Linked DNA regions of Tamandua tetradactyla. The protein of the gene in region 3 interacts with the protein of the main gene of each other region in a biochemical or structural test. Links are inferred from orthologs where the notes say so. Each region holds a gene or a part of one and is shown on either strand. Other genes may lie near its edges. The genes, in order: ATP-dependent RNA helicase DDX19B, NXF1 and NUP214.

Evidence for each region.
Region 1: the proteins of NUP214 (region 3) and ATP-dependent RNA helicase DDX19B are reported together in a solved structure, tested with the Homo sapiens proteins (2 studies listed by IntAct, with this or other methods). The link is inferred for Tamandua tetradactyla from reciprocal best matches to the Homo sapiens genes NUP214 and DDX19B.
Region 2: the proteins of NUP214 (region 3) and NXF1 form a complex in vitro, tested with the Homo sapiens proteins (4 studies listed by BioGRID and IntAct). The link is inferred for Tamandua tetradactyla from reciprocal best matches to the Homo sapiens genes NUP214 and NXF1.

The regions. Positions count from the first base shown.
Region 1 is NC_135342.1:68,643,510-68,651,384, forward strand, and holds the start of ATP-dependent RNA helicase DDX19B, read right to left. Parts: upstream 3,078-7,875; 5' UTR 3,038-3,077; coding exon 2,864-3,037; intron 174-2,863; exon of another isoform or gene 134-173; intron 1-133. UniProt on the Homo sapiens protein: ATP-dependent RNA helicase involved in mRNA export from the nucleus.
Region 2 is NC_135335.1:11,787,269-11,794,878, forward strand, and holds the start of NXF1 (nuclear RNA export factor 1), read left to right. Parts: upstream 1-4,568; 5' UTR 4,569-4,713; coding exon 4,714-4,741; intron 4,742-4,898; exon of another isoform or gene 4,899-5,082; intron 5,083-6,149; coding exon 6,150-6,333; intron 6,334-6,553; coding exon 6,554-6,707; intron 6,708-7,293; coding exon 7,294-7,377; intron 7,378-7,489; coding exon 7,490-7,594; intron 7,595-7,610. Other genes in the region: STX5 (syntaxin-5), read left to right, coding at 2,428-2,587.
Region 3 is NC_135328.1:54,075,497-54,083,178, reverse strand, and holds the start of NUP214 (nuclear pore complex protein Nup214), read right to left. Parts: upstream 3,038-7,682; 5' UTR 2,884-3,037; coding exon 2,839-2,883; intron 829-2,838; coding exon 633-828; intron 1-632. Other genes in the region: AIF1L (allograft inflammatory factor 1-like), read right to left, coding at 6,533-6,620. UniProt on the Homo sapiens protein: Part of the nuclear pore complex. Has a critical role in nucleocytoplasmic transport.

The DNA.
Region 1 (7,875 bases), on a different chromosome or scaffold from region 3:
TTTTTTTTTTTACATGGGCAGGCACCAGGAATCCAACCTGGTCTCCAGCATGGCAGGCGAGAACTCTGCAAGCTGAGCCACCGTAGCACACCCTGGTCAACTGATCTTTGATAAGGCAGTCAAGCCAACTCACCTGGGACAGAACAGTCTCTTCAATAAATGGTGCTTGGAGAACTGGATATCCACACGTAAAAGAATGAAAGAAGATCCATATCTCACACCCTATACAAAAATTAACTCACAATGGATCAAAGACTTAAACATTAGATCTAAGACCATAAAAATTTTTAGAAGAAAATGTAGGGAGATATCTTATAAACCTTTTAATAGGAGGTGGTTTTCTAGATCTTACACCCAAAGCACGAGCATTGAAGAAAGACATAGATAAATGGGAACTCCTCAAAATTAAACACTTTTGTGCATCAAAAAACTATGTCAAGAAAGTAAAAAGACAGCCTACACAATGGGAGATAATATTTGGAAATGATATATCAAATAAGGGTCTAGTATCCAGAATATATACAGAGATTGTTTAACTCAACAACAAAAACACAATAACCCAATTATAAAATGGGCAAAAGACATGAACAGACACTTCTCAAAAGGGGAAATACGAACGGCTAAAAAGCACATGAAAAGATGCTCAACTTCCCTGGCTATCAGGGAAATGCAAATCAAAACCACAATGAGATATTATCTCACACCCACTAGAATGGCCATTATCAAAAAAAAACAGAAATGACAAGTGCTGGAGAGGATGTGGAGAAAGAGGTACACTTATTCACGATTGGTAGGAATGTCAAATAGTACAACTGCTGTGAAGACAGTGTGGTGGTTCCTCAGGAAGCTAAGTACAGAGTTGCCATATGATCCAACAATACCATTGCTAGGTATCTACTCAGAGGACATGAGGGCAAGAACACAAACGGATATTTGCACACCAATGTTTATAGCAGCATTATTTACAGTTGCCAAGAGATGGAAACAGCCCAAATGTCCATCAACAGACAAGTGGCTAAATAAGCTGTGATATACAAATACGATGGAATATTATGCAGCTGTAAGACAGAATAAAGTCATGAAGCATGTAACAACATGGATAGACCTTGAGGACATTATGCTGAGTGAGATTAGCCAGAATCAAAAGGACAAATACTGTATGGTCTCACTGATTTGAACTAACATTAATGAATGAACTTGGAGAATTTGAGTTAACAGAGGCTATCAGGAGATAGAAATAGGGTCGATTTTGGGTAATTGGAGCTGAAGGGATACAGACTGTGCAACAGGACTGACTGTAAAAATTCAGAAATGGACAGCACAATACTACCTAATTGTAGTACAATAATGTTAGAACACCTAATGAAGCTGAATGTGAGAATGATAGAAGGAGGAGACCTGGGGCACAAATGAAACCAGAAAGAAAGATAGAAGATCGATTTGAATAGTGAATAAAGAAGTATTTGCAAAGTCCCCTTGGGGGAATGGCAAGAAAGGGGGAAAATTCAACTTCCCCATTTGGAGAATTCTCAATATTCTTGCAAGTAGTGGGGACAACCAAACCAAGAGGCCAAGCCCCACCCCCCCACCCCAATCTTGGGGTTTGTTCATATGAAACATATCCCTGCAAAGGATAGACTAAGTCTACTTAAAACTAGGCCTAAGAGTCACCCCCAGAGAACCTCTTTTGTTGCTCAGATGTGGCCTCTCTTTCAGCCAACATTTCAAGCAAACTCACGGCCCTTCCCCTCTCTACATGGGACATGACTCCCGGGGTGTAAACTTCCCTGGCAACATGGGACAGAAATCCTATAATGAGCTGGGACTCAGCATCAAGGGGCTGAGAAAACCTTCTTGGCTGAAAGGGGGAAGAGAGAAACGAGACAAAATAAAGTGTCAGTGGCTGAGAGATTTCAAACAGAGTCAAGAGGTTATCCTGGAGGTTATTCTTACGCATTTTATAGATATCCCCTTTTGAGTTTAAGGTGTATTAGAGAGGCTAAAGGCAAGTGCCTCTTGATCTAACGATGCTCTAACTAAAATTTCAATATAATACATTGAAAAGATGGAGAATGGGAGAGTATATATGTGTGGTCAGGGAGGAAGGATGGAAGAAAAAGAGCCCAAATCAATAAATACTGAAAACTGAAAACTCAAGAAAGTTACAAAACAAGCATGTTATTCAGAGAAAAAGGTGGTAGATACTGTCAATCAGTTTCAAGAGAAAAAAGTAGTTGCCTCTCCTCTGGGGGGGGGGGGAGGATGGAAAATCGGTGGTGGTGGGAACCACTGTTTATAAAACTATCTGACTCTTTAAACTTTGTGCATGTATAACATTTTTTATGTTATAAAAAATAAGACAAGGCCCTTATTCTGGAGGAAGTCACAGAAAACAGGACTAACAGAAGTTAGTTCAAAGCACTATCAGAACTTAGGTTACTCAGCCTGGAGAAGTGAAATCTATACAGTAATACCTGACATATTCTGCTTACTGTGTGTCAGAATCAGAAAATCGAACAAAGTTAAGTGGATCAGAAGAGGATTTACTGACTACCAGACCTACTGAGTCAATAATGCATCATCACTGAGCAAACTGAGGGGACACAATAATTTGAGTAAGTCATGGTCTCTGACCCTAAGAATCTCAGAATGTGGAGGTGGAGGATGACATATACAAAGGTAACTGCAATCCAGGGCGGGGGGAGGGGGCGGTGAGTACAATCTACAATCAATCCTTATTCCAGTACGGATAGGTAAACAAAGTCATTTTAGGGTCCAGGCTCCATCCCTATTCTACTCCCTGGGGGATTAAATCCCCGTCCAGAACTGGCCCCTGACTCCTTTACTACTGAAGCCAACTCACCGACTCAGCCGCTGCCTCCTGCTGGTCCACTGCCAGGGCCCAGGAGTCGGTGGCCATAGTCCCAGGGGCGGGTGGGACCCCTGCCCTGGCGGACTCGCAGGATGGCACGGCGCGATCGTGGGTTCCGGGGGATCCTGGTAAGTCAGGCTTCAACCCCGTAGCAGGGGAAGTCATTCGCCAAGGGGCTGGGAACAGGAAGCAGCGCTTTGCGGTGACGTCAAGGTCCGCGCCGGTTAGGCAGTCTCTCGCCCCTTCAGGGCTGTCGATTGTGTCCCCTCCAGGCCGGCACTCTTTTCCCTTGCGCAGCTCAAGCTTTCCTATCAAAAGTCCAGAACCGCGGCCTGAAATAGCTATCTAAAAGTTCCCAAGCTCCCAAGCTTTGGATAGAAACGACTGGTTGTCTATCCAAAGAATAAAACCATATTCCGGCCCAGCACAGTGGCATAGAAGATACTCAGAGAAACTGAATGTAGTAAAACAGAAAACAACCATTGCAGACAGCCACCAAAATGCATGCTGAAACAAGTAGATATTATTTCCACTTTTCAGGCGGGTAATTTAAAAGGTCCTTGTGTTGACCAGAATTATTAGGAATCAGTTCTCTCAAATACCACTTGGTAAGTATTTGTCCCACAATGTGGCAACACCACTTATAGGAATTTAATCTTTAAAAATACTCCAGGAAGGTGCAAGGGAAAAAATGGCCCGGAAGAGGATAAGACATAACAAAGAGTGGTGGATTTGTAGAACTGCACAGACACTAGGGAGGACAGAGGGCAGGGGAGGCGGGCATTGACCAGAGAAAGGGATGAAGAGGCAGGTATGAGGTGGAAGAAAAGGTAGGGCACCTTAACAGGCAAAGGAGTGAGCTGTGCCTAGGTTAGAATCCCTATTCTCCTACTTAAGGGCTGTGTGACTGAGGGAATTTTTTAAAAGAAGTAATTCGAGTTTTTTTTTTTAATATTATGTTATTTATTTACCGTTTTGAATGTTCTTTTTTTTATTGACAAACCAAAACAACATACAAAAACAAACATCCTTAACATACAAACATTCCATATATGGTGTACAATCAGTGGCTCAAAATATCATCACATAGTAGTTTGTTCATCACCATGATCATTTTTTTTTAATTTACTTTATTTTATTTTTTTAAATACCGAAAAACACAATACAAATGCAAATATTCCTATATTTTGATCATTCTGTTCTACATATACAATCAGTAATTCACAATATTATCACATAGTTGCATATTCATCATCATGATCATTTCTTAGAACATTTGCATCTATTCAGAGAAAGAAATAAAACGAAAACAGAAAAAAAAATTTATACATACCATACCCCTTACCCCTCCCTTTCATTGATCACTAGCATTTCAAACTAAATTTTTTTTATTTGTAATCCCATCATCACATCTAATATGGATTATAAATATCTGGTTTCTTTTTTGAAAATTTATTTATTAATTAAAAAAATAAAGAAACAACATACATAATCAGTAAATCACAATATCATCACTTAGTTGCATATTCATCATTTCTTAGAACATTTGCATTAATTCAGAAAAAGAAATAAAAAGACAATAGAAAAAGAAATAAAATGAACACAGGAAAGAAAAAAAAAAAGATTGTACCTACCATACCCCTTACCCCTTGCTTTCATTGATCACTAGCATTTAAACTAAATTTATTTTAGCATTTGTTCTCCCTATTATTTATTTTTATTCCGTATGTTCTACTCATCTGTTGACAAGGTAGATAAAAGGAGCGTCAGACACAAGGTTTTCACAATCACACAGTCACATTGTGAAAGCTGTATCATTATTCAGTCATCATCAAGAAACATGGCTACTGGAACACAGCTCTACATTTTCAGGCAGTTCCCTCCAGCTGCTCCATTACATCTTGAATAACAAGATGACATCTACTTGATGCATAAGAATAACCTCCAGGATAACCTCTCGACTCTGTTTGGAATCTCTCAGCCACTGACACTTTGTCTCATTTCACTCATCCCCCTTTTGGGGGTGAGAAGGGTTTTTCTCAATCCCTTGATGCTGTCTCAGCTCATTCTAGGATTTCTGTCCCACGTTGCCAGGAAGGTCCACACCTCTGGGAGTCATGTCCCACGTAGAGAGGGGGAGGGTGGTGAGTTTGCTTGTTGTGTTGGCTGGAGAGAGAGGCCACATCTGAGCAACAAAAGAGGCTCTCTTGGGGGTGACTCTTAGGCCTAATTTTAAGTAGGCTTGACCTATCCTTTGCAGAGTTAAGTTTCATATGAACAAACCCCAAGACTGGGGGCTCAGCCTATAGCTTTGGTTGTCCACACTACTTGTGATAACATGAGTTTTTAGAAGAGGTAGAAGGATTGAGCGACCCTTGCCGTGGAAGCCCAGGGGCAGAGCCATTCCCTGAGTGTCTGTGACACTCTAAAGCACGCAGCTGCTTGCACGGCCTGGGTCTGTTAATGTTTCAGCTAACCTCTTTACAAAGGAAGAATGTGCAGTTGATCAATGTACTCAAGAACCCAGCCCCCTCTCTGTGTAAAATGTTAATTTGTACCTTACCCTCCCTTCTGATAATCATGTTTCCCTATAATCTTTTTCACTGAGTCCTCTCTGCTGTCTTTGTCTTGGGCCCCTATAACTGGTCCTGCTAATTCCCACTTAATTGTGAAACACTTTCACCTTGAGCTCTATACCGGCTGCTGGTATAGAAGAGCTTGATTTCCAGACTGACTTCTTTCTTTCACTCCTGTAATTAAATTACTATAATAAAGTTCATGTCCCATTCCATGCCTAGTGCTTTCCAGTCAATTGGCTAGAAAGGCCCCTGCAGGCCAGGACACCTGCTTTTCCCTAACTGAAATCAAACAAGCTTCTTTCTCCTTATTACTTCACTAGAAAGAACCCGGGCACGTTACTGTAACATGAGAAAATCAATCCCAGCTTTTCTCACTTCGCCAATATTCCACTATAAGTCAATTTCAAATTAATAGTGGGGCTCTATGTGGAATTTACCTGTAGGGTTTGAGTAAAAACGTCTTGAGGAAAGGTAAAGCAGTTCCAGAGAATACTCTACTTGCCATAATTGCTTTTTTCTCCTGCATCATTTAGGGGGGGTAATCTGGGGAAGTGTTTTTTTTTGGACTCTGCAGGCGAGGATGTACAAAAAATGGCAGACAGCCTGGGAACCATCACCTACATCTTATCCTATCACAACTCAGAAGCAACCCGTGGGAATACTTTGCCAGAGAAATGACACTGCTTCACAGGACTAAAGGAAGTTAAGGAATTTTCAAAAAAAGTTTAATGAGGTTTAAAATTAAATCATCAACGGGCAAGACTATATATAGTAGGCCCTATCTGTGCAGAAAACAAGAAAAACTCACATATGCTGGCATATAAAATAGACAATGCATAGATAAACACACACAAAATGATAACTGGCTGCTTTGGTGGGAGGCTCTAAAAGACAGATGGGAGAAGACTTCCTTTCCCTAGTGTACACTTCATCCTCAATTTTTTTTTCACGTGCATGTTTTCCTTTTAAAATTAAAAGTATTCCAGATCAACAAGAAAGGGAATGATAAACATGTAGGTTCCCATGACAGGACTTAAGAAAGTAAACTAAGAGTCAACTGAAGCCCCCTCTATACACATCATAAGATATAACAACTATCCTGAATTTGGTGCTTATTCTCTTGCTTGCCTTTTCCATGTGTTCTTTTTCTCTACTAAACAAACAACAATACATAGAACAAGCATCAAGATTCTAGATTCTCCTACGTCCATCCCGAACATACCGGCACAACATGAGTCTCCTGCTGAGAAAGAACCTGGTTTCCAAAGTGGGGTGTGGAGTGAGTGGTGCGAGGGGAATTACGATCATCTAGATTTGATTCAGCCTCCTGCACTTACTTCCATGTGACCTCGCGCAGCCTCAGTTTCCTATGAACACGCAGTTATGTACCCACCTCCAGAGCTCAAAGATTCAGCGACACCACACAGTTAAGGCTTTTGGCCCAGCGCCAGGCATATGGCAAAAGTTCAATAAATATTAGTTAGCTATTATTATTATTTCTGCCCTCACCCAAAAGTTGGGGTCGAGGAGGATGCCTAAGTCTGAAAAAAAAAAAAAAAAAAGCTTTCTGCCCTCAGGGATACTCACATCGCCCACGGGCAGAGGAAGTGCAAACCCTCCCAGGGCCCAGCCTCTCACGTGGCCAGCAGCACCCGCCATCGCTATGGCGGTTACACTCCAACACCACTGGCCACACTGTCTGGGCTCGAACCTCATTGGCTGAGGCCTGCAAGCCTGACCTGCCAGCCAATCAGCTGAGGGAACAGTACAGCCTTTGAACAAGCGCGCTTGGGTACCTTGGGGCAAAAGACTGGCCCCAGCTGGCGTCTTTGCGTAACTTTGTCATCTTTTGAAAATGTTTGGCTTGCACACTAGATTCGGGGCTTTGTGACCGCCGGGCAGCATCGCCTTTCCTTAATTTTGATTCTCAGGGACCAACGCTTAATAGATATTTATTGGTGAATAATTATTGGTGAATAAAATGAAGAATTCACACACACATACACCCTGAGTGGACCAAATTTATAAATATTTACATATGAACACATAGGCTCATCCTTGAGTACTCCCTAGCTATTGTTAAATGATTCCCCCCCCCCTCCTGGCAGGACATCAAGCATAGCTATCACCTGGGAGCCCATTAGTAATACAGACTCTTCGTCCCTACCCCACCCACATTCACTAAATCAGAATCTGCATTTTAAGATTTCCAGGTGATCCCTAAGGCACCTTACAGTTTAAAAAGCACCATTGTAGATGACAAATGATAATGGTATGCTCAGTGAAGGCTTCCTTTGGAGGCTCCCAAAGCAACTATTCACCCACCTCCATTTGACCTGTTAGCGAACGAAAAAATAAATATCCTAAGCCCATTTTACAGATGCTAAAAGTAGCTTAGGTGTCATGGGAGAGTTGGTATCTAGG
Region 2 (7,610 bases), on a different chromosome or scaffold from region 3:
GTCTGTGTGAATGTCCAACACTCTAGCCATATTATGATCCTTGCCTGCATCATTTTGTTAGACTCTTCTACATTTACTAGCTAGCATTCTTCTGGAAAGAAGAGGCATTCTTTTTCTTTAAGTATCACTGTGGAATCATGGATTTCTTTTCTTTTTTTTTTTATTTAATGTATCATAATCCGTTATCACTATTCTTTTATGGTGATCACTTCAAGTCATATGGAGCCACTTCAAGTCAGTTTCTGTGTCCTCTGCACATAGCTTTCATTACTCTCAATCATATAAAATTTGAGGAGAAACAAATCCAGAAAACTAAATCCCAGGCATCCTAATCATGATCCAAGTAATCTTTCTAGGTTTTGGGGTACCATCTTCTTTGGGGTTCAACTTTTTCTTTTTTTGTCCCCAGTTTCTCATACTCATTTTATAGTGCTCTGGTTTCCATTATGTGTTTTTTCCACTCAGCCAGACTCCAACTTTTTACTGTTTGATTCCCTTCCTCTGTAGTTTTTCTTTCTTTCAGAAAACATTCCTGTGTCTTTTTCCCCTTTGCCAACCTTTCCCTTTTCTGCTTTCTTCAGCCTTCTCCTTCCCAAGCCATTCCTTTCATTTCCGTTTTCTAATTCCCCTGCTATTTCCTCTGAATATCCCATTTGTATTAATTTGCTAAAGCTGTTGGAATGCAATATACCAGAAATGAATGGAATGGCTTTTAAAATGGGAATTTATTAAGTTGCAAGTTTACAGTTCTAAGGCCATGAGATTATGCAAACTAAGGCATCCAGAGAAAGATACCGATACTCCAAAGAAAGGCCAATGTCTGCTGGTCCTTGTTCCTGATTCTATTGCTTCTAGCTTCTGATATCAGTGGTTTCCTCTCTAAGCATCTGTGGGCCTTCACTTAGCTCCTCTGGGAAATAGCTCTGGGTTTTGGCTTGTGTAATATCTCATGGGAAGGCACATGGTGATGTCTGCTGGGCTCTGCCCATGTCTAGGCATCTGCTCTCCAAGTTGGTACTCCATGTATCTCCAAACATCCGTGTTTCTGTCCGCTCTGAAGCAACTCTTCTCCAAGGGTCTACATCTGAAGTGTCTCTAAAATGTTTCCCCTTTTAAAGGACTCTAGTAAACTAATCAAGGCTCACTTTGAATGGGTAGAGTCACATCTCCATCTAATCAAAAGATCACACCCACAAATTGCATAGGTCATCCTCCTTGGAAAGAATCTAATCAAAGGTTTCCACCCTAAACAATAGGTCTGGCCTCACAAGATTGGATCAGGATTAAACTGGCTTTTCTGGGATATATAATAGTTTAAAACCAGCAACACCTTTGAGTCCTAATTTTTTCACCACCAGAGTTCCCCTCTGTCAATTTTCAATCATAGACTCATTGAAAAAATTATATATACCAGATTGCATTTATTTTTCCCAAGCAAAGCCATTTGTAATTGTTGATTTGAGCTTTATTCAGTATGAGATAACAAATGCCCCCACACTGAGAAATGTAATTAAAGCCAAAGCTAGGAAACCTGATACTTTAGTTAGGCCTCTTAACATTACTGGGGAATTACAATTCAGGTTCCTGTATTTGAGACATTGAGATTAGCTCACACCAGTGTTCATGTCGGCCTACCTACGCCTACACCGTTGGGCTTGCAACCACGGGCCCAGCCTCTTTTGTCACTTTCCAGTTGGATTGTCAGGCTCCTCCAGTTTTTTCATGCCCACAACTCTCAAAAGCCTCTGTTGCCAGGGCTTTCCACTGCAATGACCAGAGTTTGTATTCGGTTTATAGGATAGTAACTGTAGGTGACTGGAAAATATTTTATTTGCCTCAGCAATTTCTCCTGAGATTGTCCTTCCTCTGAAGACTTCGCTATATCCTAAAGAGACATATGTTTTCCTAATGTAGGGTTTTTCTTATCCCCTGCCTTCCTGTTCATATCATTAATTTTTATCTTCCCATCTTAGAACTAGGATTTCCTGACTGTAATGGTCTGTGAACTTCTAAGTGCATTTCATTGTCATTAGACAAAATTCAGTAAATACTGATGAGCAAAAAATTCTAATAGCTAACATTTTGGGGGCTTTTACTGTGGGTTAAAACTGACAGTTCTGAGAGGTTGGGTTTGTGTTATCCTTATTTTGCAGGCAAGTAAAACAGACTCAAGGTTAAATCACTGGCTTAGGGTCATTAAACCAGAGGTGAAACTTCATTATATATCCTTTAGGGCATTTTCTGTTTACAAATATATATATATATATATATATACACACACACACACACATAAATGGTATCATATTGTATATCGACCCTTTTGTCCCCACGTACCATGTCCATCTTTCTATGTCAATAAATACACTTCAACAGCATTCTTTTTAATCCAGTGTCCTTCTGTTTCCTCTTCTCCCGGCCCTGTCCCAGGATCGACGAGAACGTGCTGGGAGCCCAGCTGGATGTTGATGCTGCCCACTCAGAGATCCTCAAGTACTTCCAGTCAGTCACCTCCAACCGGTGGCTCATGGTCAAAATCTTCCTCATCCTCATTGTCTTCTTCATCATCTTTGTGGTCTTCCTTGCCTGAATCCTCTCCACTCTGAGGCACTCCATGGGGGGTTGAAGCCCACCTGGGGGGGCAGGTGGCCATTGCTGCCACTGAGCCTGTACAGGGTGCTTGGAAGAAAGGCCCTGTTTCCCTGGAACTGCTAAGAATGGCCACTGCCCCTTGATCCTCCAACCATGTTTTGCCTCTGGCTATCCTGCCTCTCCCCTAACACCCCCAGACCCACAAACCACACAGGGTTCTGGTTTTGGACTCTGTTGTGAAGTGGCTGGAAGGGAGCAGAGGCTAGCTGGGGGCCAGTGGGGAGGCTGCCTCCACTAGGAAATTTTTATAAACCCCCCACAGCCTCTCTGAAAAGAAACTGGGAGCAAGGGGAAGTGATGACCTTCCCTGCCTTCTGAGAGTGAGGAGAGGAAGAGAAACTGCCCCAGGGACCAACTTTCCCATCTGGGTTAGAACTTGACCTGTTTATTTTTCCTCTCTTCACTAAGTGAGGCAGAGGGCCCTGAGCCCTTTGGCTGCCTGCACAACCCCCCCAACATTGGCTGCTAGTGACTCTCAGAATGCCAAATGCACTGCAGCCTGTTTTCTTCCAATTACAGAAAGACTGTCAGCCTCACTAGCCATGTCGTCATTTCTGGGTGGGAGCGTCGAAGGGCCTACCTAGGCAGTGAGTGGGCTGAGCCCACTGCCCAGTAACGGAACTGAAAGGGATCAGCTAATGGTTCAGAGGGGCCCCACAGCTGACCTTTGCAGCCTTTGGCGTCTGTACCACACAGCTGCCTCCAGCCATGTGATTACAAAGTGCGGTAGCACCTAATTTGAATGGAAACTTCATATCAAAGGAGGAGGGGATTCCCTGATTGGTGGTAACTTCCAGGACTGCCTTGAGCAGCAGTATTTGGACCGGTTTCATCTTAATCCTTTAACCTGTTGGCCCCAATTCAGAGCTCTGTCCGCTGCCAGGAGCGGAAGGTGAATTTGTTCCTGCGGCGGCTGAATCTCTTAGTTCCCATTAAAGTCTTCACCAAATCCAAACTAGTCACAGGAGAATGGAGAGAGACCTGCCCAGAATACCCCCTCTACTAGGAGCTTAATGTGCTTCTTTATCTTTCTTGACCAGGACCCACAACCACACCATTCTGAGATCACTTGAGTGAGTGCCCTGGTTCACACAAAACTCAAGCCGTAGAGACTGCAGTTGGCCATACTCAGCCTGTCCTAGTTCTTTTGGGGGTCTAGGGAAGTCCATGGTTTTTCCACCCCCGGCATTTACAGATTTCCTCTTGTCTTGGCTTCTCTTCCATCGCTTGTACCTCCACCATATACTCAGTCCACATGTGATGTGGGCCTGGCACAGTACACCAGTAGCGATTGGGTTGGTTTGTGAAGAGGAATGTCGCCGAAGCCTGTTATAAATGCAGTCCCATTTAATTGGGCAACTCTCGGAGCATGGTTAAAACAAGTTATTTCACAAGTATTTGTTGTTACTTGGTGCCATGCATGGTACTGGGCCCGGCGCTGGAGAAAAAAGCCATGGAGTTCACATTCTAGAGTTTGATTTCGTGCTTATTAATCCAGTTTACAGAATGGGAAAGAGCCCCAAGGTCAGCAGCCGATAAAGAGCTGAGCCGAGACTTTTAAACACTAGCTGAATTCGGCGAGGTGTCGGTAAGCGATCACTCGCTCCGAGGTCCGGGACTCCCATTCCTCAGTATCCTTTCGGGCCGCCCCTCGTCCGCCTTCCTCTCGGATTTCTGGACTGGAGCACCCCGAGTGCCATTGTTCTGCTCTTTGCTCCGGCACTAACTCTGGAAGTCTGCAGACGGATGAAAGGAGGTGGTGGTGGTAGGCTGGCAGCAAATCCTGGGCTTGGAAAGCTCAGTCGAGCGAGGCGTGGGAGGGACAAGACCCGACTCCTAAGCGTCCGCCTTCTGAAGTGCGCACGCGCAGGCAGGCCCCGCCCCGCCCCGCCCCCAGAGGCTCCGCCCACAACGCCGTGACGTCAGTAGCGCGAGACGTACTTCGCCGAATAAATGCTGTGGCGCCCGGCGTAGAAGCGCTTCGGCCCTTAGCTACTGGTTCAGTTTGGACGTTTGGCGGCTTCCTGGGCAGCGCTTCAGCCTGTCCCTGCCTCTCTCTGTACCATGGCGGACGAAGGGAAGTCGTACAGTGGTAAGTGCTGGCTTTCGGTGGCGAAGCGGAGCGATTTGGTGCCCGGGTGGGCGGCGCCGGCCTAGGCCGCAGCCCCAGGTGATGAGGCCGCTCGCGACCCGAAGTCCGCGGGGAGCGGCGGCGTGGGGCGGGTGGGGCGGGCCGCCGGGGACCAGGCAGCCCGGAAGGGGATCTCGGCCGAACTCGAGGATGGACCCCGGGGTACGCGACTCCGGAGTCCTGGTGTTGTGAGGACCTGCGGCTCGAAGCAAAGTAGTTCAGGGATGGGGTGACGAGAATCCTTTAAACTTTGTGGGTGATTGATGCTGGTCAGTTCAGTTTGGCGACCAGACTCTTTTAATGTGAGTGACTCAGTGCTCGCTCTTGGGCTGTCCTGGTACCCTATCTCCTACCGCGACTAAATGAGGACCTGCGGCTCTCATTTAGTATTTTAGCTTTTTTACACACCGTCTCAATGTTCTAGTCCGCCTGAGTTTTAGTTCAGTGTTGTGGTCAGGGTCTCTAGGCAGCCGAGGTTTGCATCCTCGTTCGACTAGGTCAAGCTTTAGTGAGTTACTTAAATTCTCAGACCTCATTTTCCACCTCTTTAATGAGGGTAGAAGCAACAGCTACCTTCAAAGGTGTGTGTGTGTGTGTGAGAGAGAGAGTATGTGTGTGTTTAAATGAGATCATTTCTATCAAGGGCCTGAAACATAGCACCTGGCAAGGGAGAAAGCTCTCAGTAAATGTTAGCTGCTGTTATCTTTTTTTTTTTTTTCCTAGAGTCCTTTTTGAGGCTCAGTGTCGGCATTAGGCAGACATGTTTAGGCGTCACAGGACTTTTTTAAAGAAACTCCTGTCCACCTAGATTTAAAGAGGGTCATATTCCTGGAGAACATTCCTGGACCCTTGGTTACTAGAGCCTGAGTCTAGGAGTTGTGTCCTGTGTTAAAAGGCATCTCAGGCAGAGGAAAAGGAGCACTCAGGAAATATGAGTAGCAGTATAATAGCAGGGAGATGTTTTAGGTTGGGCAGATTTTGAGTGACATCTGTAACGCACAGGCAGGAGAAATGTAGGTTACTGAGTGCTGATGTAATCATTGTGATTGATTCGTTTTAGGATGTGTCAGAGAATTTGCCTTCCAAAATTTGGGTGGGATTGAGTCGATTTGATAGATTGAGAGAGAACAGTTTGGGTGACTCTCTCAGTCTATCAAATCTTCATTTTTCAGAAACGCTGTGCAGTTTTCCAAGAATTTTTCTGATGTTTCCATCTCGTAGAGAGGGTTCTTTCTTCTGGACAGGCAGAGGAATTTGGGTGGAGGTGGCTTCTGTTGTTAGTATGTGTCTCCTCCAATAGTGCAGGATAATAGCTCCTGTAATTGCTGATGATGTATTTTCTAACTTGTGTTCCTGTTTCCAACTCTAGAGCATGATGACCGTGTTAATTTCCCTCAAAGAAGAAAGAAAGGCCGGGGTCCTTTCCGGTGGAAGTGTGGTGAAGGGAATCGTCGGTCTGGACGAGGTGGTTCTGGTGTTCGATCTTCCCGCATTGAGGAAGATGATGGAGATGTACCAATGAGTGATGCCCAAGATGGTCCCCGAGTACGATAGTAAGTGGCCAGTTGATCTGGTTTGAATTTAGTGACACACTAGATGATGCAGCCCTGCAACTGCCCATGTTATTTCTCTTTCCCACTTGGAAGACTGATAAATACTAGATCAGCTTAATGGATGAATAGTTTTAGTTACATCTCTGACAGCAGTGTAGGAAAGTCTTTGAGAAGGCTTAAAGTTGCAAATATGGACTTTTTTTCTCTCTGCTTCCCCCAGCACCCCGTATGCTGCCCGACCCAACCGTCGGGGTGATAATTGGCGTGATCGAGACCGTATCCATGTTACTGTACGGAGAGACAGGGCTTCTTCGGATAGAGGAACGGCTGGCACCAGCCAGGATGGGACCTTGAAGAACTGGTTCAAGATTACAGTGAGTACTTTTGGGAAAGTAGATGGTGCGGCTGAGACTGGGGGCTGGGCCCACGGAGAATGTGTTTAACTCCAGAGAATCAGTCTTTCTGGCTGTGACCTCCACAGTTTGATGCCTGTCCTTTTTGCTGAGGATCAGTATCTTTGAACACCTAAGAGTGGGTTGAAAGAAGGGATAGAAGAGGACAGGGAGGATGGGGGAGGCCCTCAAAAGGTAAGCATGGTAACTGTGGTCAGGAGTTGGAGTAACTCCTCTGGATGTCTCCTTTTGGCTCAGGCCCAGTGTGGAGTTGACCAGGTGTGGGAGTTGGAGTTCCTGGAGTTCTGTGAGGGGTAGGCAATGTATAAATAATATCTTGATACTTTTTTATAACCCAGATTTTTTATCCTTTGGAGAAATAATAATTTTAACTGGACAGAAAGAAGATTAAGGAGTCCATGTATGGCTCAGATAGAAAAACATATGGCTGGTCCTTTCTTTAGAAAATCTTTTAAAGCTTGGCAGAAGGTCTGAAAGGAACCTTCAAGTCTGCTTTTCAGCCTTAGTTGCATATTGTTCCTTTTCTTTCTCTTTCTCTTATTTCTAGATTCCTTACGGCAGAAAATATGACAAGTCATGGCTATTGAACTTGATTCAGAGCAAGTGCCGTGTCCCTTTCACACCCATCGAGGTAAGACAAGGCCTGAGTGGCAGGCTGCCTGGGCATCAGGGAGGGTGGAGGGGGCAAGATAGACAAGTGTTTCTGGGCTCCAGATCTAATCCTGTTATTTCTCTTCTTGCAGTTTCACTATGAGAACAGTCGGGCCCAGTTTTTTGTTGAGGATGCCAGCACTGCTTCTGCATTGAAGGCTGTGAACTATAAGATTTTGGATCGGGAAAATCGACGGGTACATGTGTCAAGGG
Region 3 (7,682 bases):
AAAACAGAAAATGGAATATTTTAAGCATTGAGCGACAACTCCTTTATCCTCTATGTGAAATAATTTTGCCTCTAAATAAACACACATACGCAAACACACACACACACACACCCCTACCTGATACTTAATTATGTAGATAAAACTTAACTTTCATACAGAGGTAAAATGACACATTAAGTATTCCAGGGACTCTTCCTCATTCAACCTAGGGAAACTGACTTTGGTTGTTACTCTTTGCTGAAAACAAAGTCTTGTGCCTGCATTTTTGCAACAATGCTCCCAAATACTACACATTCCCATTTGTTTGAACAGTACTGTTGTATCAACTGAAAAGCCACAGACAAAACCCTTCTAGAAAGCCAAACCATCTTAAAATAAAAGCATAGCATAATGGAAAGTTCTTCTTCCCTCTAAGCTTGAAGGAACTACTCAACAGAAGAGAAATACAAAGGACCAAAGAGAATACCTAGAAAAGCTTTTCAGAATCCCACCTGGAATTTATTCTTCTTGGGAATCAACTTTAGGACTAAAACAGCAGTTTAACTTCAATATTGGAATGATTTCTTGAGAAGGAAACTACATTAGCACTATACAACACTCCTCTATTATGCAACATAAATCAGGTAACTTACCAATTTTATTGGGATCATCTCCAGGTTTATTTTGAATAAGAAGATTTTTAGTAGGAAAAATCTGCAATCCACTGGCTCCACCAGCAAAGACCAGACCATACTTATTGGACACAGCAAGCAGACTGGAGCGCCCCTTGGGCAACTCCTCAGGAGAGTCAAAGATTCTCACTTTCTTCAGTGCTCTAAACTGAAAATCCTATTGCAAAGGATAAAAACAAGACCAATTCAGGGCAAAAAGGAAATTACATCATGACTGTCAATATATGCCAACAGACCTAATTTCCAGTACAACAAAAATATATAATCCTGTGACGCCAAGGACTGTGTCTCAGCAGTCTTTAAACTTCCTACTCTTATCATAGTGGCTGGCATAGTAAGTATGTACTATATGTTGAATGAAATAAATGAAAATATGCAAACAAAAAAAAATCTTTCATGAAGACTTCCTTGACTAATCTGGCTCACGTTGAACTTTTCTTTTTCCTGATTCCTACTATATTTACTGTCAAAATCACTGCAAAACTGCATTTTGTTTATAATCTTGCCCTATTTTGCGTTATGTATGTATCATTTCATGACCCAGAACAGTGCTTAATAATTTGTGAAATGTCGAAAGCATCACCCAACTACAGTATAAGTGCTAACTTCTACTGCAGTAATCCTCAAACACATATTAAAATAACCACAGAAAGAGGACCAAATCCCAAGAATTGGCTTACTTAGAGTTCAAGATCTTTAAGCAAAACCAAGATGCTAGAAGAACATATAAAACACAAGTCCAAAATCCTCAACACAATCTACAAGGCTAGATATCGCTTGTCCAGTCCACCTCAGCAGCCTCACCTCATGACACAAGTGCACTACCAAGGTATACCAGTCACTATGTTAAATTGTATTCTATATGGTTAATTTTCCCCTTCAATTCTAAACTTACCTTCAAGAAAAAGAAAAACTAGATTGTTCGTTTCATACAGGATCACTATTGCACCCCATATACTAATTACCTTGGATTAGATATTTAATACATATTTGCTGAAAGATCAATTGAAATACTCTTCTCTAATTTCAACTGAGTGATTAGAAATTCACACAACTTTCCAAGTGAGATCATATTCATAGAATAAAGCAGAATAAAATTATTAGGCTTTATTGTAATTCTCGTGATAATGTCAAATACATTTGGGTGTTGGTCACATGGGTATAGTGGGCCAGTGGGATGAAGAGGCACAGAAGCTCTCTTTTCTGTTGTAATAAGTAACTCAAAAGGAAACTATAATCTCATAAGGCAGTTGTTCTGAAACTGTTCTTCTTTCCCACCATATTTGAGGAATAGGAACATTATTCCAGGGTAGCTCACTACAAGAGTGATTCTCAAAAGGGAAAAGAAGAAATCACTGCTCAAGTATATGAAACTACTATCCCTTAAATGCATTTCAATGATTTGTTGTTCACACAAACGCCTGAAATCTTATTGCAGCTTACTCCTTTTTAGTTGTTTCTTATTTAAAAGAAAGTAGCTCGTTTTCTGTACCTTCATTCTGTCAGAACGTTTTTAAGAAATATCATCCTGGTGGTTATCCCTGGGGATTCCTTTACCATCATCTGGACCACTTGTTCTTCCCCACTTTTCTGACTAAGCTGATTTCTGGTGCCAAAGTAGTCCTCCTATTCCAGTTAACTAAAAGTTCCATAGGTTAGGTGATATTCCCTAGCTATGTGCTAGGCAAGTCTGGACCACCCTATAGAAGTAGCAAATGAAGAATGAAGAAAAATAAACATGGATTTCAGCCCCCTGGTCAAATGCGACTTTGGGCAAGTTACTTTCCAAACCTCAATATGCTACTCTGTAAAATGGGTATATTACCAATTATTTCGTAGGAATACTGTGACCAATCAGGGAGACAATGGTTACACGGTGCCTAGCACACAGTAAACGCTTAATGAGTAGTAGTTACCACTACTGTGACTACTACATGAAAGTAGCCAACATAATTCAAGAGGCGTGAACAAGACCAACCAGGGACGTGAAACTGCATTCAATGGGACTACCACGCCAGCAACGCGGCACCGTGCCCCGGGACCCGCTGATGAGAACTCTGAACACGGTAAAACGTTCAAGAAGGAGGCGGGGCACCCGGCCGTTCCGCGGGACTCCAGGGCAACGCCAGGACTGAGTAAGGGAGGGAGCCCCCGGACAGCCTCTGACCTTCATCTCCCGCTCGGGGATCATCGCATCCATCTCGTCTCCCATCGCGCCGCACTCAGTTTGTCCAAGCAGCCACCCAGGCCGCCCGCGGCCTTACGCCAAGAGCCTAGGACGCTCCGAGACTAAACTCCTTCCCTCAGCGGTAGAGGCGCGCAGAGGATTCCGCATTTCCGGCGCGTTTTGATGATGTCACGCACCCCGGTTCGCGACGTGCCTTAACAAGACTGAGGAACACCCGAAGTCGCGCGCGCTCTCGGGGCCGATGCCTCCCATTGGGCGGCTCGAGTACGGGGCGTGGCCTCGGGACCCGCGCCTCGCGGCCTGGAGCTTGGAGTCCCGGCCGAGCGCGCTGCTTTCTCTGTGGGTTGCTTACGTCTAAGTGTCCTTCTCTCATCGTTCATTTGAAACTTCCCGGTAACCCTTGGATGTAGGCGGATATTGTTTCCGATGCAGAAGTCAGTTAGGAACTTCATTTCCAGCTCATGAGAAACTTTGGGGGCGAAGGCAGAGAGAAGTTCAGAAAGTGGGTGGGACAGGACCTCGCCACCCGAGACCATTTTGTATCTAGGGATGAAGGCTGGATGGGGCGGTTAAAGGGACCATATGCCAGCCTTGTTTACTCCTTTGAAGGTAATCATTTTAAGAACAAGAGCCATATCCACCCCTGGTCACAAAATTTGTTCGGAGCTTTGTGCAGAACACCTTAGAAAAGTTATCTCATCCCTAGGGATGTTAATCCTTAAAACATCCTCACCCCCAGGGATTATTGATTCCATTTAACTGATTAGGTAACTGAAACACAGAAGTTAAGAAAATTCCCTAGTGACCCTCAGTCAGAAAATGGTGGCGGCAGGATTAGAATTCAGATTATCTGGATATGCTGATAATCATTTACATAGATATAGAAGAAATTTTTGTAGTGGAATTACAAATGCTCTAGGACAGGGATTCTTAACTTGGAGCCCACACTCCCCAGGAAGTGTTCTGCCACCTGTTTTTTGTTTGTTTTGCTCCAAGCCTTCTTCTCATATGTAAATCAAGGATAACAAGAACCTATCTAATGGCATTGTTGGGAGAAGTAAATGAAATTCAGAGCTTAACAAAGCCGGGCACATAGGACACATTCATTCCATACTATTCTATATGTCATTCTATATCAGGTAGCTCTTCTGACTTTGCAGAGCACAGGAACTGCCCCCAAAATACACCAGTCAGGACGCTGATAAGTTTGTCTGGTTTATTCCCAATCTGTAGAGCAGATATTCCCACACCACACACACTCACATGCACACATACTTCATCCGCTTGAATTTACCTGACAAACTCCTTCCTTTTGTCATAGGGACAAAACCATATTGGCCATCCCCTAGTTATTGGTTACATTACAATTAGATTTGGTCTTTTAGAAATAAAACAGCTGAGGTTTCAAGATGAGCCCTTACCAAGAGAAGTAAGAGTCCTGGAGCTGACAGCCACAATCTGGAATACATACAGACCCCCTCTCCCAGGGACCACTCTCAAGACCCTCTACCCCCAGAGGTTGAGTTCAAAAAAGTGGTAAAAGAACTGATGAGATTTCCCAGCATATCCCCTATCCAATAAGGACACTTTCTTTCCTGCCCTTTCCAGAAGCCAGGACACGCTTTTGCTTGCACTCCTTTCACAAGTCTTCCTGCTGTCTTCTTGCAAGCTATGGAACCCACCGAAATAAGCCAAGTTATTTCTGTCTTCCTCTCTGAGTAAAACAGGAACACTGAATGTGATGGGTAGTCAAGGAAGGCTTTACTTTGTTCAGAGGTCCCAACCTGTCCCAGAGAGAGGTAGTGGGAAGAGGTGAGGACAGGCAGTTGCTAACCTAATGATCTTAGGGAGCAAAAAAAAAAAAACAAAAAAGGCCAGCGGGATGGAGGGAGTAGGATTTAACATATACAGGGTTGAATGTTTTGCTGAGGTTTAATCTTCAACTAGGCCTGTGCATTTGAAGCAGCTTCTTAGGCTGAAGATCAGCCAGTCATGTCCAAGTAGTCTTACTCCTGAACTGGTTGAGACCAGCAGACTAATCCAACTGGGCCATTTTCCAACTTCTAGGTGCTTTACCCCCTCAAGGTGTAGAGGCAGCACCTTGGAGCCTTGATTATTCGTTACTGAGGAGCGTGCAAGGAGCCCAACCTCCAACAGCCCCCAGATCTTTCCACTTAAGGCTTTGCAAAGGCTTCTCCAGACGGTAGCTCAGTCTTGGGCCAAGTCTAGGTACCCCAGAATTACAGGCAGTCATCCCTCTATGTTCCACCCCCTTTCCTAACATTCATCATCATCTGTATCTGACTCTAAATTCCATGGGTCTGTCCTGTTTCATTTCTGGAGTCTCAGTTCTTGGCCCATAGCAGGTGCTTAATAAATATGTTAAATGAATGAGTATGTCTAAGCCCTGCACAGGGAGGGGTAAAGGCTGAAGCCTCTGCTCAGTCCAAAAGGGGTCAAGTGTGACAGGAAAGTGTCTCCAAGACTTGGCAGAAGCTCTGCAGAATGCAGAACTGCAGAGGTAGGCCTGGTCTTAATGCAGACTGTGACACTGACTCAAACTCTGAGGCTGGGGAGGGTTAATCCTCACAGAGGACCTTCAGAAGAGAGAAGCTTTACCCAAGTGTTGACCTAGGAGACCGCCCCTACCTGCCTCTTTCCTTGTTTTCATCCTTGAGGCAGTCCTGAGAAGACACGAGGCATGGGCCAGGGGGATCATGAGACCTTGCCTCTAGTTTGGACTTTTCCATCTCCAAATTAACTCTCTGTCCTGGGGCAAGGCACTTTGTCCTTATGGACTGCCAATTTTCTCACCTATGAAACAAGAGGATTGGCTTAGCTAACCTGCAAGGTGGATTGGGCTCTTAAATCCTGTGAGTCTAATAAAGAACACAGATGCCCCAACCCAATCTCCAGGTTCAAAGTTTTGGGTGATTGGGAAAAGGAGAAATTAGTTACACAGCAGACACAGCACATGTCAGGATAAAATGGGAAGACTTGGAGCTTATAATGGTTGTTGACAAGTATCTGTTGACTAAATGGTGTAGTAAGGTAGGAAGGCAAACGGAGGAAGTTCAGCCAAGTTTTAAGCAGACTGAGATCAGAAAGGCAATCTTCTATTTCTCAGCTCTTGGCTTAGCGGTAGGGCAGACTTTTTACCATGAGTATTTTATTGTTCATTTTCCTGACTTACTCAGCATCCTCCCTTAAAGGTGGAATTAGGCCTTCTGAAAGTGAACTGGGATCCCCACCTGTGCCAGGCCAACAAGTCTGGGGTTGGCTCAGAGACTTGGAAGGAAAGACAGTGCCAGCTCCAAAGGAGGGGAACAAAGCCTCCCAGCCTCCCTGCCCTGTTCCCATCCCCTGCAATTTTTGGTTGAATGTCAGCCCTTCTGCACAAGGAGGGGAAAAGGAGGAGAGAAAAGAGGGAGAGAACAGAAGGCTCAGGACCACCCCCACCCCCCCCATCTACAGCCTCTTTAAGGGAGATAATTTGTGCTTTACAAAAAGATCACTGATTCTGTCCCACAAAGAAAACAACCAACCAACCCACAATGACCAAACAAACAAGACAAATCACAATGAGTCAAGAAGGCCAGGGAGCTCCAGAGGGAGGGGCAGGGGGTGAGGCAGCTGGAAAGGGCAGGGGCAGGTCCAGGTCCAGCAGGGGTCCTCAGGGCAGACTGGCAATGTCTCTCTCTGGAGGGGGACCAACTGGTTTGGGGCTGCTCTCATTGGCTTTTCCTTCAAACATCATGACTCTGGTTTGGAGGATGAGGAAAACAAAACAAAACAAAAGAAGATTAGGACTCCTTCCCCAATCCAGGAAAAGATCATCCCAGCCCCCAAGTCTGTGGAGTCCTCAACAGAATGCCCTCCCAGCTGTTCTCCAGCAGGATCCTCATGGAAGCTCAGGGCAGCAGCTGTGTGAAAGGCACTGCTACTCTGTTTTCCAGAGTAGAAAACTGAGGTGCAAAGTGGTGCCATGAGTTCTCAGAATCACACAAGTAGTCCAAGGCAGAGGCAGGATGAGACTCCAGACTTCTGACTTTACCTTCCCCTGCACACAATGCCTGGCATGTAGGTACCACAAGGCTGGGCTGAAGCTCTGTTCAAGAGAAAGTTTGTAAATACAAACCTGGCCAATACCCTACTTGAAACTCTTCAAAAACTCTTCAGATCTTCAAAAACCTCCCCACTGCTCTTAGAGTAAAGTCCAGAAGCACAGGGTGGGGGTTCAGAGGGTAACCTCTGAAGAGAAACAGGCTGGATTGGAATTCCAGCCCCACTACATCCCAGCGGGTGAGTCAAGCAAGATGCTCAATGTGCTGGTTTGGAATGATGCATGGACCCTAGAAAAGCCATGTTTTAATCCTAATCCCATTTTGTAAAGGCAGCTGCTTCTTCTAATCCCTATTCAGCATTGTATGTTTGAAACTGTAATTAGATCACCCCCCTGGAGATGTGATTTAATCAATAATGGTTGTTAAGCTGGATTAGGTGGAGGACCCATTTGAGTGGGTCTTGATTAGTTTCTGGAGTACTATGTAAAAGGAAACATTTTGAAGAATGAAAGAGATTCAGAGAGAGCAGAGAATGCTACAGCACCATGAAGCAGAGAGTCCACCAGCCAGCACTTTGGAGATGAAGAAGGAAAACGCCTCCCGGGGAGCTTCATAAAACAGGAAGCCAGGAGAGAAAGCTAGCAGATGATGCTGTGCTCGCTATGTGCCCTTCCAGCTGACAGAGAAGCCCTAACTGTGTTCACCATGTGCCTTCTCACTTGAGAGAGAAATCCTGAACTTCATCGGCCTTCTTGAACC